Linked DNA regions of Caenorhabditis elegans. The protein of the gene in region 2 purifies or fractionates together with the protein of the main gene of each other region. This does not show direct contact. Each region holds a gene or a part of one and is shown on either strand. Other genes may lie near its edges. The genes, in order: nsun-2 and cct-6.

What was found.
Region 1: the proteins of cct-6 (region 2) and nsun-2 fractionate together in Caenorhabditis elegans (co-fractionation; one large-scale study listed by BioGRID). This does not show direct contact.

What each region holds. Positions count from the first base shown.
Region 1 is NC_003279.8:1,189,761-1,199,399, forward strand, and holds the start of nsun-2 (tRNA (cytosine(34)-C(5))-methyltransferase), read left to right. Parts: upstream 1-3,397; 5' UTR 3,398-3,437; coding exon 3,438-3,682; intron 3,683-5,982; coding exon 5,983-6,332; intron 6,333-8,783; coding exon 8,784-9,381; intron 9,382-9,639.
Region 2 is NC_003281.10:5,851,069-5,860,610, forward strand, and holds cct-6 (T-complex protein 1 subunit zeta), read right to left. Parts: upstream 4,620-9,542; 5' UTR 4,615-4,619; coding exon 4,478-4,614; intron 4,427-4,477; coding exon 4,363-4,426; intron 4,315-4,362; coding exon 4,180-4,314; intron 4,132-4,179; coding exon 3,959-4,131; intron 3,906-3,958; coding exon 3,190-3,905; intron 3,144-3,189; coding exon 2,749-3,143; 3' UTR 2,462-2,748; downstream 1-2,461. Other genes in the region: ddx-23 (putative ATP-dependent RNA helicase DDX23), read right to left, coding at 1-51, 473-2,050, 2,124-2,195; alh-9 (Putative aldehyde dehydrogenase family 7 member A1 homolog), read left to right, coding at 6,141-6,347, 6,397-6,854, 6,903-7,628, 7,677-7,881; dpf-4 (Peptidase S9 prolyl oligopeptidase catalytic domain-containing protein), read left to right, coding at 8,564-8,922, 8,980-9,478. UniProt on the Caenorhabditis elegans protein: Molecular chaperone; assists the folding of proteins upon ATP hydrolysis. Known to play a role, in vitro, in the folding of actin and tubulin.

The DNA.
Region 1 (9,639 bases), on a different chromosome or scaffold from region 2:
ATTTTTCCAATATCTCCCATCAAAATGTGAAAATTTTCCGAAAAAAGGGCTTGTTTTCGCTTGAAATGCAATTTTTTTAAAGAAAAAACAAAATCTTCCAAAAAATTCAAAAACGGGAAATACAGTTTTTTAGCTGAAAAAATCACAATTTTTCCAACATCTCCCTTCAAAATTTGAAAATTTTCCTTTTTTTTTCCCCAATATTCGTAGAAAAATCACTATTTTTGCTTGATTTTCTCTCGAAAATCCAAAATTTCAGAAAAATCGCAAAAACATGAGGTTTTCCAACTATAGTTTTCATCCAAAAATCAGAAAATCACCTTTTTCCATCATTATTCCATCAAAATTCGTTAAACATAATTTTTTGTCGCGAAAGTTAAGATTTTTCCCAAAATCCCTGAGAAAAATCCGAAGTTTTCGAAAAATCGCAAAAAACCAAGTTTTCTAACTATGTTCATCCACCAAAAATCAGAAAATTCAACAAAAAAAGAACAAAAATCGTAAAAAAAAAATTTTTTAGCGCGAAAATTGAGTTTTTCCCCCCAAAATCTCTGGAAAAAATCACTATTTTTGTTTGATTTTCACTCGAAAATTCATCGTTTTTCAAAAAATTCGAAAATCCTAAAAAATTCAGATTTTCCCAGTTTTTCGCGAACATAAATGCAAAATTCTCTGAAAAATCACATTTTCACCAAGTTTTGTCTCAAAAATATCGAAATTTACAAGTTTTTTTAACTAGAAAAATGTCTGAAAATGTCATTTTTAAACATTATTCCTCCCATTGTTAATTTATTTTTTCTTGTTAATCATTTTCCTAAAAATGTTCGGTTTTTTACCACTCATTCCCCCCGTTTTTATGTGTAAACTTTGGTGTTTTTTTTTTAAAATAATTTTACCCCCAATTTTCCAGAAAAAGTCTCAAAAATTGAGATTTTCATATAAAAATCCGGTTTTTCCCGCAAATTTGCCCCCTAAAAATGCAATTTTCCTGGTTTTTGCTTCTTTAAAATCATTATCCTGCTGTGTTTTTTGTCTTTTTCGTTTTTGTGGTATTAAATTTGAATTTCTGGTGTTATTTTTTATTGAATTTGATCTTTTTTTTGGTTAATTTTACCCTATTTTATCTCATTTTTCTCTAGGGTTTCGAATATTGATCTTAAATCAAAATCACCAATTTTTGGCGGATTTCTTGTTTTTTTTTGTTGAGAAATTGAATTTTATTTGAAATTTTCAGGCTTTTCTAATATAAAATTCCCGAAATTTTCAGAGAAAAACCTCAAAAAATTTACTAAACCTTTCGTAATTTTCAGAAAAAAAGTTCACAAAAAATTTTGAAAATTTTCTGGAAATTTCAGATTTATCTCAAAAATTCACAAAAAAATATGAATATGAAATAATTTCTTAAAAATTGGAAATAAATTACAATTTCGTTGAAAATTGCCATGATTTCAGTAAAATTTCAGGCTAATTCACAAAAAATTCGAATTCTGTAAATTTCAACCTAGAAATTCAAACAAAAAAAACTCAGAATAATTTCAGAAAATTCCAGATAATCTGAGAAATTGCCATGTAAAATTGCCGAAAATTGTAGAAAAAAATCGCAAAAAATTGGCAAAAATTTCGGAAAAATCTTTTAAAAAAACCTTGAATATTTCAAGAAAAAATCGCAAAAATCTGAAAAAATTGGCAAAAATTTCGGAAAAATATTCTGAAAAATTCCAAAAACCCTCGAATATTTTACGAAAAAAATTCTTAAAAAATCCGGAAAATTCCCGCAATTTTCAGAATAATCTTTTTTTTTCGGAAACCGCAGAAAATTCTTTAAAAAAAGCTCAAAATTTCTGAAAAATCTTTTTTAAAAAACCTTGAATATTTCACAAAAAAAATCGCAAAAAATCTGAAAAAATTGGCAAAAAAATCCAAACCAAATTTTTGCAGAAGGAAAAATAATGAAAAAGTGAATTGATATTTTTGGGAATTATTAAAAAACCTGAAAATTTTCCAAAAAACGCTATTTAAAATTGCCGAAAATTTCAGAAATGTTTTTTTGAAAAATTCAAAAACTCGAAAAATTGGCAAAAAAAGGGAAAAAAATTTATAAACTTCTCGAACATTTCTGAAAAGTCTAAAAAAATCCCCAAAAAATTTGAAAAATTGTGAAAATTTCAAAAAAATCTGAAAATTTCCAGAAAATTCACGAAAACAATCTGAAAATTTTTCGACATTTTTAGAATAAACTAGAACCGCCCAAAAATTCGAAAACAATTTTTTAATAATTCTAAATAATCTCAAACCAAACAAAAAAAATCTGAAAAATTTTCGAAATCTTTTTGAAAATTAAAAAAAAAATCCCAAAAATTCTGTAAATTCCCTGAGAAATTTCCGAAATTTTTTTTGTAAAAATTGTCCTGTAAAATTCTCGAAAATTTCTGAAAAATCAAAAAATAAACTTTGAATATTTCACAAAAAAAATTCCCGAAAATTGGCAAAAATTTCTGAAAAATATTCGAAAAAATGCAGTAAAATGCTCGAAAGTTCCAATTATTTCTAAAAATATTTTTGCAGAAGGAATTACAATTTCCTTTTAAAAAAAAGAAACAGAAAAATTCTTTTAAAAATCTGAAAAAAAACGAAAATTTCTGAAAAAAAAATCCAAAAACCCTCGAGTATTTCACGAAAAATATCCCAAAAATTCGAACAAAAATCAGTAAAATTCCCGCAATTTTCAGAATAATCTTTTTTTTCAGAAACTACAGAAAATTCTTTTAAAAAAAGCTCAAAATTTCTGAAAAATCTTTTTTAAAAAACCTTGAATATTTCACAAAAAAAATCGCAAAAAATCTGTAAAAATTGGCTAAAATTTCATTAAAATATTCTGAAAAAATCCATAAAAACCTCGAATATTTTACGAAAAAAAATCCTTAAAATCTGAAAAATTGGAGAACACTTCAAAAAAAAATTCAAAAAATTGGCAAAAAATAGAAATTTTTGTGAAGGAATGGTTTCAACAGGAATTTAAAAATTGTTTTTCAGAGTCTTTTTTTCAAAAATTTCTTTTTTTTTCCTATAGTGAAATATTCAAAGTTTATTTTTTGATTTTTCAGAAATTTTCGAGAATTTTATAGATTTTTTTCTGAAATTTAATATTTTTTCGACAATTTTCTGGGGGTTCTTTTTGAAAAGATTTTACAATTTTTTGCCAACTTTTTGAGTTTTTGGATTTTTTCAGAATTTTTTTTCTGAAATTTCCGGCAATTTTACAGGACAATTTTTACAAAAAAAATTTCGGAAATTTCTCAGGGAATTTACAGAATTTTTGGGATTTTTTTCCAAAATTTATTCTCAATAGAAATTACTAACAAAACCCGAAAATTTGCAATTTTTCTCAAAATTTCAGGGTTCAACGTTCGCCGCTAGAAAAAAACGCGCCAAAAACGATGGTTCACAGTAGCCGCCGCAAGTTCAAGAGCAAGAATAAGGGCCATGAGCCGAGAGAAAATGTTTGGCGTGACGATCGTGATGCTCCAGGCAATCAGGGATATCGTATGGTGGAGAAGGAGAATGAAAAGTATTGGCAATATTATAAGGAGCAGAATGTCTTTCCATTGGAGCAATTTGACGAGTTTCGGGCGGCTCTTCAACGAGATTTGCCTGTTTCTTTCAGATTTCAGGGTTGTCATAAGTTCGTTTTTTTTGAAAATTGATTGGATGGACAAAAAATGTGTGAAAAAATTAATTTTCCACGGATTTTCAGTTAAAATTATGAATTTCAACGTAAAATTCACAAAATTTGGCCTAAAACGCTCCAATTTTGTGATTCTTTTTTTGCTCAAAAACAATTAGAAAAAAATTGATTTCCCACGAATTTTCAGAGAAAGAACTGAAAAATTTTCCAGACATTCTGATTTTTTTCAATTTTTTTGCTAAAAAAGTTCAAAAAATTTTTTACCGACATTGAATTGATGAAAAATTCAATTTTTTGCAAAAAAAAATGGACATTCTCGCTGAAATTTAATTAAAAATTTGAAAATTGACAAAAAATTCTAAATTTCTAAAAAAAATTACCGGAAAATTTGAAAAATTTTTGGAAAATTAACAAAAAAAAAATAAAATTTTTGCAAATTTCGCAGAAACTGCAAAAAATTCTAAATTTTCCCGGAAATTATCAGAAAATTTCAAATATTAGTGAAAAATTTGACGAAAATTATGAAATTATTAACGGAAATTTCGAAATTTTGCAGAAAGCTGATAAAAATTCAGATTTTTGTATAAACTCAACGAAAAATTCCAAATTTTTGCGGAAATTTAATTGAAAATTCAGAAAAAAACATATAAAGAGCAGAATGTCTTTCCATTGGAGCAATTTGCCTGTTTCTTTTAGATTTCAGGGTTGTCATAAGTTCGTTTTTTGAAAATTGATTGGATGGACAAAAAATCTGTGAAAAAATTAATTTTCCACGAATTTTCAGTTAAAATTATGAATTTCAACGTAAAATTCAAAAAATTTGGCCTAAAACGCTCCAATTTTGTGATTCTTTTTTTGCTCAAAAACAATTAGAAAAAAAATTGATTTTCGACGAATTTTTTGGAGGAAAAACTGAATTTTTAAGGTTTTTTAGCTCAAAATTTGGATATTTAAAAACCCAAAATTTGGATATTTTTGATTTAAACAAATTAAAATTCCATCTTTTCCTCTAAACATTTGGGGAAAACTGTAAAAAATCTGATTTTCCAAGGGTTTTAGTAAAAATTTTGCGAATAAACTGTTAGAAAATTCAAAATTTCAGTGGAAAAGTCAACGAAAATTTTAAAAAATTTCACAGAAAACTGTTGGAAAACTTAAAATTTAACGAAAAATCCAAAAACAAGATCTACCAAAAGAAGATCTACGTTTTCAGGATCTGGCACCGTGCCAACTGCGGTTTTCTCGATGAAAAACGTAACAACGATGCTCCGATGTTACGCGTCGCGTGTTGTTAAGCGTTTCTTCTAGAAGAAAATTTCAAAAAATATCTTTCTGAACGCTAAACAACACGCGACGCGTAACATCGGAGCATCGTTGTTACGTTTTTCATCGAGAAAACCGCAGTTGGCACGGTGCCAGATCCTGAAAACGTAGATCTTCTTTTCGTAGATCTCCTTCTCGTAGATCTTGTTTTCGTAGATCTTGTTTTTGAACAGATCTTCAAAACGTGGTGCCTCGAAAAATTAAAAAAATTTTGCAGAAAATTGACGAAAAATTCAAAATTTTAGAGGAAAATCAAAAAAAATCATTGAATTTTTCTGCCGAAATTTAATGAAAAATTCGAAATTTTTGAACACTATTTAACAAAAAATTCAAAAATTTTGCAAAGAAAAATAACGAAAAAATGTTAAAAATTTAGTAGAAAACTGACGAAATATTAACAATGTTTGCTGAAATTAAACTGAAAATTACAAAAATTTGCAGAAAACTAACGAAAAAAAAATGTTTGGTGAAAAATCAACGAGAATTCCAAATTTTTCCAAAAAATTAGCGAAAAATTTTAATATCATGCAGAAAACTGATGAAAAATTGAAAATTTTAGTGGAAAACTGACGGGAAATTCAGTGTTTTTTTGCCGAAATTTAACGAAAAAATTTAACAAAATTCAAAAATTTTGCAAAAAACTGATGGACAATTCAATTTTTTAGTGGTAAATTAACGAAAAAGTTTGAAAAATCTTGCAGAAAACTGACCAAATATAAAAAATTTTCGCTGAAATTTAATAAAAAATTTAAAAAATCAAAAGAAAATTGTCGAAAATTCAAAATGGTTCCTAAAAATTAACGAAAAATTCAATTTTTTCAAAAAAAAATTCTGAAAAAATCCAAAAAATCCTGAAAGCTCTGAAAAATAGGCAAAAATTTCATTTAAAAATTCCCCCAAAAAAATCTCAAAAATTCCGAAATTTTTGATGAAATTTTCAACTGAAAATTCAACAAAAAAAAACTTGTTTACAGAGACCGCGAGCAGCTGATCCATGAGATGGAAAATCGATTTTTCGGGAAAATCATGGAAGCCGGAGACACTGCTGTATGTGTTCCAAAAAGTCTTCCATGGTACAAAGAAGCCTATCAAACGCCAATGTCACGTACCGCTGTCCGAAGTCATCCGATCCTTGCACAACTTCACAATTTCCTTGTCACAGAGGCTGAACTCGGAAATTTGTCCCGACAGGAGGCGGTTTCAATGATTCCACCACTTCTTTTGGCTCCAACTTCTGAGCATTTTGTGCTTGATTTGTGTGCGGCTCCGGGAAGCAAGACCACACAACTTTTGGAAATGATTCATGAGAACGAGGAGAATCCGAGTACGAAAATCGCCGAAAAAATTCCAAAAAAAATTAGTGATTTTCAGAATAATCGAAAAAAAATTCTTGAAAATTTCTGAAAATTCGAAAAAAAAAATTTCGAAAAAAAATCAATAAAATTCTCGTAATTTTCATAAAAATCGGAAACCGCATTCCCGAAAATTAAAAAAAAAAGTACAAATCAACGAAATTTTTTCCAAAAAGTTTCAGAAAATCGCAAAAAAATTCATAAAATTTTCGAAAATTTCTGAAAAATTAGTGAAAATTTAAATTTCATTAAAAAAAAATCTTTAAAATTCCAGAAAATTCACGAAGACAATTTTTTAAAAATAATTCTAAACAATCTCACAAGACCAAACAGACCAAACAAAAAAATTAAAAAAAAGAAAATTTTTGAAAAAAATCCTAAAAACTAAAAAACATTTTGTAAATATGCCGAAAAGTTCATTTAAAAAATTCGAAAAAAAAATCCAAAACCCCTCGAATATTTCAGAAAATAATTCGAAAAAAAGCTCAAAAAATTGGCAAAAATATAGGCAAAGTTTCAAAGAAAAAATCAGTAAAATTCTCAAAATATTACACAAAAAAAGTCCCCAAAAACTCAAAAAAAATTGGCACACATTTTCATTAAAAATCCAAAAAAAAAAATCTAAAAACCCTCGAATATTTAACGAAAAATATCCTAAAAATTCGAAAAAATCAGTAAAATCTCTAATTTTCAGAATAATCTTTTTTTCAAAAAACCACAGAAAATTCTCGAGAAAAAGCTGAAAATTTCAAAAAATCAGCCAATTTTTTGCAAAGAAACGGAAAAAATCCAAAAAACTCATGGAAAATTCGAAAATAAAATCTCAAAAATGTTAGAAAAATCTCTACACATTTTTCGAAAATTTCTGAAATTTTTTTTAAAAACTCCCGAGAATTGCAAAAATTCCCAAAAAAAATCTAAAAAATTCCAGAAAACACGAAAAAATTTGAAAATGTTTTGAAATTTTCAGAATAATCTAAAACCGCTGAAAATTCTGAAACTATTTTTTTTTTAATTGAAAAAAAAATAAATTAAGTTTCACAAGACATTTTGAAAATTTTGGAAAAAATCCCAAAAATTCTGTAAATTTCAACTTAAAAATTAGAAAACAAGCTCAGAATATTTTCAAAAAATTCCAGAAATAATCTTATAAATTTTTCGAAAAATGTCTTGTAAAATTGCCAAAAATTTCTGAAAATAATTCTGAAAAATCCCAAAAATTGGCAAAATTTCTGAAAAATCTTTTAAAAAACCTTGAATATTTCACCAAAAATTCCCAAAACTCTACAAATTTGCAAAAATTTCAAAAAAAAAATTCAAAAACCCTCGAATTTGCAAAAATTTCACGAAAAAAAATTCCAAAAAATTCGAAAAAATCAGTAAAATTCCCGCAATTTTCAGAATAATCACTAAACAAAAACCACAGAAAATTCCTTTATAAAAAAAACTCAAACTTTCAAAATTTCTGAAAAATCATTTAAAAAAACCTTGAATATTTCAGAGAAAATATGCCAAAAATTTGAAAAAATCTTGCAATTTTCAGAATAATCTTTTTTTTTTCAAAAAAGAACCACAGAAAGTACCAAAAAAAAAACTGAAAATTTCAAAAAATCACACTGCAACTTTTTTCGAACGAGGGACGAGGCAAAAAGGTTTCTAGGCCATGGCCGAGGGGCCGACAAGTTTCAGCGGCCATTTATACTGCTTTGTTTTCCGCCTGTTTTCTTTCGTTTTTCACAGTTTTTTCCCGTTTTTTCTTATTAAAACTGATGAATAAATACTTTTTGCAGATGCTAAAACAATTTCCAAGTAAAAAAATTATGTATTCAGTGGGCAAGCAGCGGTGAAAGTGGTCAATGCAATATGATGGATTACGGGAATACAAAACCTAAACTTTTTCTTAAACATGATACATATGCTGCTCTGATGCTGAAGCTACCTGATTTTCATAACGAGACCGCTGAAAAAGTTTTGAGGTTTCCAAAATTCAACTTTTTTGGTGGAAAAGTAGAGATTTTCGCACAAAGAGTTGAATTTTGAAAATCTCAAAACTTTTTCAGCGGTCTCGTTATGAAAATCAGGTAATTTCAGCATCTAAGCATCATATGTATCATGTTTCAGAAAAAGTTTAGGTTTTGTATTACCGTAATCCATCATTTTACATTGACCACTTTCACCGCTACTTACAGACTGAATACATATTTTTTTCATCTGGAAATTATTTTAGCATTAGCAAAAAATATTTATTTATCAGTTTTGATAAGAAAACACGGGAAAAATTGGTGAAAAACAAGAGAAAACAATGCAAGTACAAAATGTCGTAAAATGCGGTGTTTTGTGTGCAAACACCGATTTTTCGCATTTTTTCTCGGCCCTCGTTCGAAAAAAGTTGCAGTGAATCAGCCAAAATTTGTTTTTTGCAGAAGGAATGGTGATCGCAAACGACGTCGACATGAAACGCTGCTACATGCTAATCCATCACACACTGAAACGTTTCCGAACAGCCGCGTGTGCTGTAACCTGCGAAGACGCCGCCCGCTTCCCACACATCTCCGACTCGGATGGTGGCCTAATCCAGTTCGATCGTGTCCTCGCCGACGTCATTTGCTCGGGAGACGGCACACTTCGAAAGAATCCAGAAATCTGGAAGAAATGGACTCCACAAGATGGTCTTGGATTACATCGAATGCAGATTGCAATCGCGAGAAAAGGAGCTCAACAACTGAAAGTCGGCGGGCGAATGGTCTATTCGACGTGCTCAATGAATCCGATTGAGGATGAAGCTGTAGTTGCTCAGTTGCTCAGAGATTCAAAAGGATCACTGAAGCTTGTGGATACTTCATCATTGCTCCCAGAGCTTAAACGAGAGACGGGAGTTGTTCAGTGGAAGGTTTTTGATAGAGATATGAAGTTGTACAAGTCGTTGGAGGATATTAGTGAGGAAAAGATGAAAAAAGTGATTGTTAGCTCACTCTTCCCACCGACTGAGCAAGAGGCAAAGGAGATGAACTTGCATTTTACGTTAGTACTTGAAAAATAAAACATAAATTTGAAAATTTGAAAAAAAAAATCTCTGAAAAAATTCTTAAAGGTGGAGTAACGAAATTTGGGAAATGTTTTCAAATGCACGGCGTGTAAATTGGTACCTCTGGCCTAGAAAAAAGCTTGAAAAACAAATGTACGCAATCACGGCCCGAGAAGTGGTACCTGTACGCAATTTGTCTACCGTATACCTGGACGTTTGGGCGCGTGTATCTCAAAAACGGTTGGTCCAGTTTT
Region 2 (9,542 bases):
CACTTCGACGAGCTTCTTACGTTTACGATCCTCTGGAACCATGTAGACTACCTGAATACGAAATATTTTGGAATTTTTAAAAAACTTGAAATTTTTTTGAAATTTCTTACTAAAAAATACTAGCCTCTGAAAAAAGACACTGAAAACAGAATTCCCCCTTTCTGCGTGGTTTCAATCCAGAGATGGGACTTTTTTTTGGCATTTTTTGGTAATTTGACGAAAAATTAATTTTTTGATTTTATTTTTTAGAAAACCAACAAAAAACCAAACAATTTTTCACTTTTTTCAGTTAAAAAACAATTTTTTGGGTGTTCTTAATTAGTTTTTAGCAAATTTTAGTTAACAACTTTTATGAAGCTACTTTAGGAAGCTGCCTTAGTTCTAGTAATTTTTCTAGTTCAGCTTAATGTCGAAATATGAAAAACGATTCTCATAATTATTTTTCTTTTCTACCAAGAATAAAATAAATTACCTGTTCAACTCTTTCTGTAGGCTTTCCAGCAGATCCAATATGTACAACTGCTGGTCTTCTGAGATATTGTCTGGCAAGTCTTTCGATAGCTGAAGACATTGTAGCTGTGAACATGACAGTTTGTCGATATTTCTCTCTTGTTGAGAATCCCTTCATCAAAGCTTCTTCATTATCGAATTCATCCGTATCTTTCTTCATATTTGTATCTGGCATGTACTCCAGAACCTTCTGAACATCTGGTTCAAATCCCATGTCAAGCATTCGATCAGCTTCGTCAAGGATCACATAGGTACACTGATTCAGGAGAAGATATCGATTTTCCAGAACATCGAGAAGACGACCTGGTGTTGCAATGACCACTTCAACACCCATTCGAAGCTTCATTCCTTGATCTTCTCTGCTGGCTCCTCCGATTACTGAAACGGTCTTGATACCGAGAAGCTTTCCGAACTTGTTGGTTTCCTCTTCAATCTGCTGAGCCAATTCTCTTGTTGGAGCCATAATAATAGCATATGGACCCAAGTCCCGATGTTCTTGTCGTTCCATTTTTGGAAGGCTTGTGATCCATACAAGCAGCGGTAGAAGGAAAGCTGCAGTTTTTCCTGATCCAGTTTCAGCTACACCGATTACGTCACGATTCTGAAGACCAATTGGGATGGCTTGTCTCTGAATAGGTGTAGGTTCCAGATAACCAATTTCTTTGACAGCTTGGTAGACTTCATCTGGAAATCCAGCTTCTTCCCAATTACGAAGAGGTCGTGGAACTCTGCCTCCTTTAATAGAAATATTGAAATCTTCACGGAAGATACGCCAATCTCTGTCAGACATCTCAGAAAGTTCTTTCATTCTCCAATGACGATCATCATGAGCCACTTTCTTTTCTTTTTTCAGTTCTTTTTCAAGGCGATGCATCTCTTGCTCTTTCTCATCAACAGTTCTTCGATTTTCCATCATTTCCTGGTAGAACGAGTTCTTCTCTTTTTTCTGAGCATTCACATCCGTTCCAGCAACAGATCCTCTTCCAAAGAACTGAATTTCATGTCGACTTTGATATAATTTGTTATAATCCTGTGATGTATCCTCTCCAGCATCCCAATCAAAAACAAACTTTTTCTCATGAAGTCTCCGTCCTCTTTTCTTCTTTTCCTTCTGTTTTCCAAGATATCTGTCTTTAACAGCATCTGCCATTTTACTAACATCTTCTTCATTATCACTATCCTCGTTTCTATCTCTTTTCCGATCATCATTTCGATCCCTTCTATCTCTACTTCTACTTCTATCTCGACGCCTTCCACCATCACGATCACGGCTCCTGCTCCTTCGTCGTCTATCTCGAGAACCACTTCTCTCCCGACGATCCCGTCGACGATCACGATCACGTTCCCGTTCACGGTCTCTGTCACGATCATTGCCTCGGTCAAGTCCACGATCTCTTCTATCGTCTGATGTTTTTTCGGTGCGTCCCCAATTTTTTCGAGCTTCTTCAGCTTGTTTTTGTGTTTCACGCAGTTTTGCGACCTCCTCTTCTCTTCGTTTCAGAGCCAATGCGGCCCGCTCGGCTTTTGACAGAAATTTTGGCTGAAAATTTGAAAATGGTTTGGTTTTTAAAAAATATGCGATGTTTTTTGAGATATTAAAAAATAATACATACCTTTGCCAATTCATCTTCTTCTCTTTTCTTCTTTTCCAGAAGTTCCTCAAGTGATGGAGGTTCAGCAGCCATTTCTCTGGAATTTAAGAACTTAAATGTTTGGAAAACTAATTAAAAATATGCTTTTACAATGGGAAAATGTAAAAAAACCAATTTTTAACATAAACCTACAGAAATGCATTCACCCTTTTCGTATATAATACACGCGACCGAGGTGGTATTTGTTAGGCCGCGCTCTCTTAGCGGGACATTCGAAAATGTCAATTCTCCGAATATCATATTAATTTTCTATAGAAATAAAGCTTCGCGCACATACACAACCGGAAACCAATCATAATAATATTAAAAGCAAGAAGCCTTTATTGCGCAAAATCAAAAAGGAACGTGCATGAAAAAATCAACAAATTCTCAAATGAAAAGCAATAAATTTTGATGAAAATTTAAGAAATTGGGGGATAATAAAGAAAAAGAAAACAGATCGATCTTTGTTGATTATCGCTCGAAGAAAGCTATAAAAACAAACGGTAAAGTTGGGCTTGTTGAACGGGATGGGGAATATTATCAAACACGGCAACAGATCATAGAAACGGACACACTGGGGGGAATAGAAAAACAATTTTAATATTTATTCTGGTTGTGGCTGCTTCAAGTTGGTCATACCAGCGCGCATCACTTCATCAACAAGCAAGAGATTGCATGCAAGTACTGTCGCCGACGAGATACTGTTCTTCTTCACCGTCACATTGTCCCAAATTCCTTGTGGCTCGACAGCTCCTCCGGTTTCGAGATCGAGTCCAACGGCGATATCTGGTCCAGCGGCGGTTTTCTCCTCAATAAGCTTAACAAGTGTTTCCTGAGCATCATATCCTCCATTTACGGCCAGTGTCTTTGGAATAACGAGAAGAGCTTGAGCAAACGCTTCAGCTCCGAGCTTGGCACGTCCCTTCAGGTTCTCAACATCTTTTTTCAACATCACGTAGGCAGCAATTTCGAAAGCAGCAGCTCCAGGGAGAACAGCCTCTGAAAATAGGTTACTAGAACAGAAGTTAATAAAATTTAAACTCACTGTCAACGATGGTGTTGAAAACAGCACGAAGTCCATCATGAATAGCATCCTTGATTTGAGTGATGGTATGCTTGTTTGGTCCCTTGATAAGAAGAGTCACAGATTTTGGAGCACGGCATTCCTCGATAAACGTGTATTTCTCTTCTCCAAGGGAATGCTCGTAAACGAGTCCAGCCCATCCAAGATCCTCTGGAGTCAAATCATCAACTGAGTTGACGGCTTCTCCTCCGACGGCCAGCTGAAGACGTTCCATGTTACGTCTCTTGGCACGACGAAGAGCAAGAATTCCTTCGGAAGCAAGCAAGTCAAGAGATGGAGGATCGATTCCTTTCTGGTTGATAACAACGAATCCCTTATTCTTACCATCTGGAGAATTATCAATAACCTTCTTCTTCAACTCAATAATCTTGTGAACACGACGAGTAATGAATTCACGTTCGGCAGCGAGAAGTGCCTCACGTTCCTTGGCGGTCTTGTAGAAAAGTCCCGAGTTGACTTCAGTCTTCTCGTATTCCAAAGAAACGTTGCAAGTGAGAATGTAAGCGTCTTTAACGTGTCTTGGCATATCTGGGTGACGAGCTCCATGATCGAGAACTAATCCACGAACAAGTGTGGTATCCATATCACTGTCGTGGTGCATTTCCATCTTTTCAACCATATGAAGATCTGGTTCCTCTCCATCACGACGGATTGCCAAAACGGCGTCGACAACGCATCTGAAATTAAGAAGATAATGTTTTTTACTACTTTTTAATTGTTTGTTTCTTACTCGGTGATGTGATCAGCAAGTTTCTGATGAAGTTTGGTACGAAGAGCAGTGCGGCACACCTCTACAAGGAGGTCACGCTCAACGGGAGCCTCTTTCTTGAACTTTTCAAGCAACTCGAGGGTTTTTGTGTTAGCCCACTCGAAGCCTTCAGTAACAATACGTGGATGAAGACCCTAAAATTTTAAATAAATGTTTAAAGTTAAACTTTGGAAATTGATCACCTCGAGAACTAGAGATTCGGCTTGTTTCAAGAGCTCTCCGATAAGGAGAACGGTGGATGTGGTTCCATCTCCAGTCACGTCGTCTTGTGCCGTCGAAGCCTTGGCAATCATTGAGGCTGTTGGATGTTGAATCGCCTGAAATTAAATAGTGCTAAACGCTGAATCTGAACAAAACGATCAAACCATTTCGTGAAGCAAGACATTTCCATCCTTCGTCAATTTGATATCCCCAGCTCCAGATACGAGCCTGAAAATGTGATTATAGTCTCAATTATACATTTGATCAGTTTATTCTCACATCTTGAGAGTTCCCTTTGGTCCGAGGTTCGATCTCATGACGTCTTGAAGTCCACGAGCTCCACTAATATTAAGCTCGAGAGCGGCAGCATGCCTAGCTAACTCAGCTTTCGGGTTCAGGCACTGGATTGACGACATACTACCTGAAAACAAGAATTCAACTATGAAATATCTCAGTAAAACCAACAAAAACTAAAAAACGGAGAAATGAGATTGGAAAACGATTCAAGAGGAAAATAGACACGCATAAAAAGGTTCGAGAGCATATTACAATTCAAAAAGGTTCTAAAATGTATTATTACATAACTTTTTAAATAAAAAATAAAGACTTTCAACAGAAATCCTTGAAAAACAATGATTCTCGTTTGAATTTATTCTAGAAAATAAATTCGCTTCTAAAGGCGCACACAATTTCGCAACTGGGTCTCACCACGCAGAGACATTCTACGCTTTTCGGGGAGGATTTACGCGGTGTTTCAAAATTAGGTTTTTCATTATTTACATTGTTCCGCAGTAAAAATGCCCCAATACACCCTTTTCGGGAATAAGACGATGCAAACGATGCGCGGCCGCTGCCAATGCAGCATCAGTTGCTGCAAAAGCAGCTAAGAAGGTAAGCGTTTTTATTTGAAAAAAATTACCGGGAATTCAAATTCTTTGCAAGTTTTTCCAAATTGGGATTTATTTGAAATTGCTCAAAAATGTAATGCATTTTGCTTAATACACTCTACAGTGAAAATAACATTTTAAAACATTTACAATTAAGTTGACACAATAATTCCATGTTGTTAGCTTTCCCGTAGTTAAAAATTGTGCGAGAGATTGAAATTTGTGCGAATATTCGCCTTTTCAACGAAACATATACAAACTAAGTGGATCTGTGTTTTTATTTGAATTTCTGGGAATTAATTTTATCCTGAAGTTATGTATAAGCCGAATAGCTCTTTTTGTGTCGAGCAAGCGACTGCAATTTTCCACAATTTCCATTTCACAAATTTTAGTGGTCACTGCATTGTGTTCTTCTTTATCATGGTTGTCTTCATATCATCATTGATTCGGAAACTAAATATATATCAACCGGCTGCACGCCTTCTTTGCCGCGAATACGCAGAATACTACTATTCCGCAGATCACGACTGAGAAAATGATATTTATGACAAGGGAATGAGTTAATATTAATAATCAAAGAATTATTATAATTATCACGAAGTGGTTTCATATTTTTAATAGTCACGTGACTCGTCATTTCTTCGTTTTTACCTCGGACTGGCATGCCGCATTTTTTTTTTCATGAGCTATGAGCGCATTTTTTGAAAAATGTTTCTGCAATCAGATATATAAAACGTTGCCTGCCATAAAAACACAACTTGTAACCGCTGTAAATCATTAGCCTTGTATCATGTTCCACGTCATAAAATTTACAGCATTCTATAGTCTTATAGATATTGATCTGCAATCTGTCCTTGAATTCCTTGATTAACAATCAATTTCATCTCAGTTTTCGTCGTCATAAACAATCTGCCCGTGTCTCGCTCCGCCCATACATTTCATTCAATCTCCTTCGAACATTTTTCAATTCATTCTTGTTTTTTGACCACTAACCTCTTCGTTTTCTAATACCTTCTGTTTCAAAGCGTCTAACAATAATATATTTTTGTTTCCAGATGAACCGATTGTTGAGCAGTGGAATGTCTGCAGCTACCTTGCAGACCAGAATGGCGTCGCAATTGCTGATCAACGATTCAAAGTACGGATTCCTGAAAGAGCTTGGTCTCACGGAGAACAACGCCGGAGTCTTTCATGGAAAATGGGCGGCGAGTGGACAAGTTGTTCAGTCATTTGCTCCAGCAAATAACTCCCCTATTGCTAATGTAAGTTTCAAAAACATACCCTAAACGTTTTAAAACTTTCAAATTCCAGGTACAAAATGGAAACGTACAAGACTATGAAATCGCCATCTCTGAAGCTAAAAAGGCTTATAACGATTGGTGCGAGGTACCAGCACCACGACGTGGAGAAATCGTCCGTCAAATCGGAGACAAGCTCCGTACGCAGTTGCAAAACCTGGGAAAGCTCGTGTCCCTCGAGATGGGAAAAATTTCTGCCGAAGGAGTTGGAGAAGTTCAAGAATACGTCGATATTTGCGACTACGCTACTGGACTCTCTAGATCACTTGAAGGAAAAATCTTTCCTTCTGAGCGTCCAGGACACGCTCTTCTCGAACAATGGAATCCACTTGGAGTTGTTGGTGTGATTTCGGCTTTCAATTTCCCATGTGCAGTGTATGGATGGAATAACGCTTTAGCTCTTGTCACAGGAAATTCTGTTGTCTGGAAGCCAGCTCCATCCACACCATTGACAGCTATTGCTGTGACCAAGTAAGCTCGCTTATTTCATAATTGTAATCACTAAATAACTATTTTCAGACTTGTCGAGGAGGTTCTTGTTGCCAATAATGTAAATCCAGCTCTCTGTTCCCTTGTCTGTGGAGAGGGTGATGTCGGTCAAGCTCTTGTGAAGGATAAGAGAGTCAATCTAGTTTCATTCACCGGTTCATCAGAAATTGGAAAGATCGTTGGACAACAAGTTCAGGCTCGTTTCGGAAAGCTTCTACTCGAGCTCGGTGGAAACAATGCTATCATTGTTAACGAGGATGCTGATTTGAACATGGTTGTACCGGCAACAGTTTTCGCCGCCGTTGGAACTGCTGGACAGAGATGTACAACCACGAGAAGACTCATTGTTCACGATAAGGTTTACGATCAAGTTCTCGAGAGATTGAAGAAAGCTTATGCTCAATTTGAATCAAGAATCGGATGTCCATTGGATTCCAACACAATTATTGGCCCACTTCACAACCAACAGGCCGTTGGAAAGTACAAGGCTTCAGTTGCCGAAGCAGTTGCTTCTGGAGGAAAGATTGAGTACGGTGGAAAAGTTCTTGAGAGGGATGGAAACTTTGTTCTCCCAACAATTGTCACTGGATTGAAGCACGATTCTCCAGTTGTTCTTCGCGAGACTTTTGCCCCAATTCTCTATGTTCTGAAGTTCTCAACCCTCGAGGAAGCTATTGCAATCAATAATGAAGTTGATCAAGGATTGAGTTCTTCTCTATTTACAACAAATATTCAAAATGTTTTCAAATGGATGGGGTGAGATTTTCTGAAATTGTGAATTTAAAACTAACATTTAATTTTCAGACCAAAAGGAAGTGACTGTGGAATCGTCAATGTCAACATTCCCACATCTGGCGCAGAGATCGGAGGAGCCTTCGGCGGAGAAAAGGAGACCGGTGGAGGTCGCGAATCAGGATCCGACTCCTGGAGGCAGTACATGAGACGATCCACCTGCACGATCAATTACAGCAAGGAACTTCCTTTGGCTCAGGGAATTAAATTCGAATAGCTTAGTTTAGATTTTCTGTAAATATTCATTTCTCATTCAATTTGAGATGTTTTTTTTTCATGCATAATTATTCTCAGTTCCGTTCTAAAATTGCGTGTAATTCAACTCTTGTCCTCTCCTTTTGTGATTTGAATTTTTGTGCCATATCATTCCAAATGCTTAGTTTTTTTTTTAATGTTTGTTCAATAAACTTCCTTTTTTATTCATTCCACAAAATAAAGTGCAACATATTTTCAGCATATATGTCATAAAATTGACGAGACTGGTGAAAAACCGTACGCATACTTGAAAACCGATAAGCTGATTGGTTTCATCACTTTAAGTCATTTCCTAAAACTATAAATTCAATTTCACGCAGATTCTTCTCCGAATCTTCCGCTTGTTTTCTGCCCCAACGCAAGTTTTACTTTTTTTAAATACAATTATTATAATGATGGCATTTTTGTATGTTTAGGTGATGCCTGTTTTATAAATTAAGAGTTTTTTCTAAAAATGTTTTTAAACAACTTTAAACTAATCCACTTAGAAAGTCTGTCAAATTGAATTTTATTGATTGTTTTGGAAACAAACAAACCTCACAATTACAAAAACGCTTTCATTGTAAATATTGACGAATTTATCTCGAATATATTTATTTTTCTCTTAAAATAACTATTTTTACAGCATAAAAAGTGCCCGAAAAATGGCAACTGAAGCTGTCTACGGAAGTTGGGATAGTCCGATCACACCAGATCTCTTCGGAAAATGTAATTGCAAGTCTATCTGCGAGATGCAAGTTGTCGGTGGCAATGTCTACTGGATTGAACAGAATTCAGTAACTGGAAAACGAGAGCTTTACTCAAAACCAACGAATGGAGATACTCGTACACGCTGGGCTGATGGTCAATCTGTTCAAACTGCAATTCACGAGTACGGAGGAGGTGCTCTACATGTTCTTGCTGATGGATCAGTGCTGTTTGCTACGATCGAAGGAGTTTTCTATCAAAAGTCGGCGGATTCCGGAGTTGAGCAATTGGCAGAAGGAAATAATCGAATGTTTAGGTCAGGGATAATTTAAATGGTGTATAACTTTCAAAAATAAATAAAAAACATTTTCAGATTCTCCGACTTCTCAGCCACTGACACCCATGTATTTTGTGTTAATGAAACCCACCAAGCTGATGCAAAATTTCCCGAAAATCGACTAATCTCCATCGACCGAGCAACCAAGAATCAAAACGTCATAGCTCACGGAGCCGACTTTTACGCCTATCCAAGAGTCTCCCCGGATGGAAAAAAGCTTGTCTGGATGCAATGGAGCCTTCCAAATATGCCATGGGACGAGACATCCATCCGAATGGCTGATCTCAAAGGTGGAGAATCCAGCAATGAGGTGACGCTGAAGGACGGAACTGGAAAACAAATCAACTATTCCGAACCAACTTGGGATGGTGATGAGCTTTTAACTGTGAATGATAGCACAAACTGGTGGAATGTGTATAAATCAGCTGCAGAGCCAAATTCCGTCGAGAAGAACCTGAATCCAATTCAACGAGAGATCAGCTACCCGCTTTGGCAGCTTGGTTTCAGAAATTATGTTCTGAATAAAAAATATTTGGTGAGAATTTTAGATTGGAAATTCAAAACATTCTTCAAATATTTTAAACCTAAGTTTACAATTT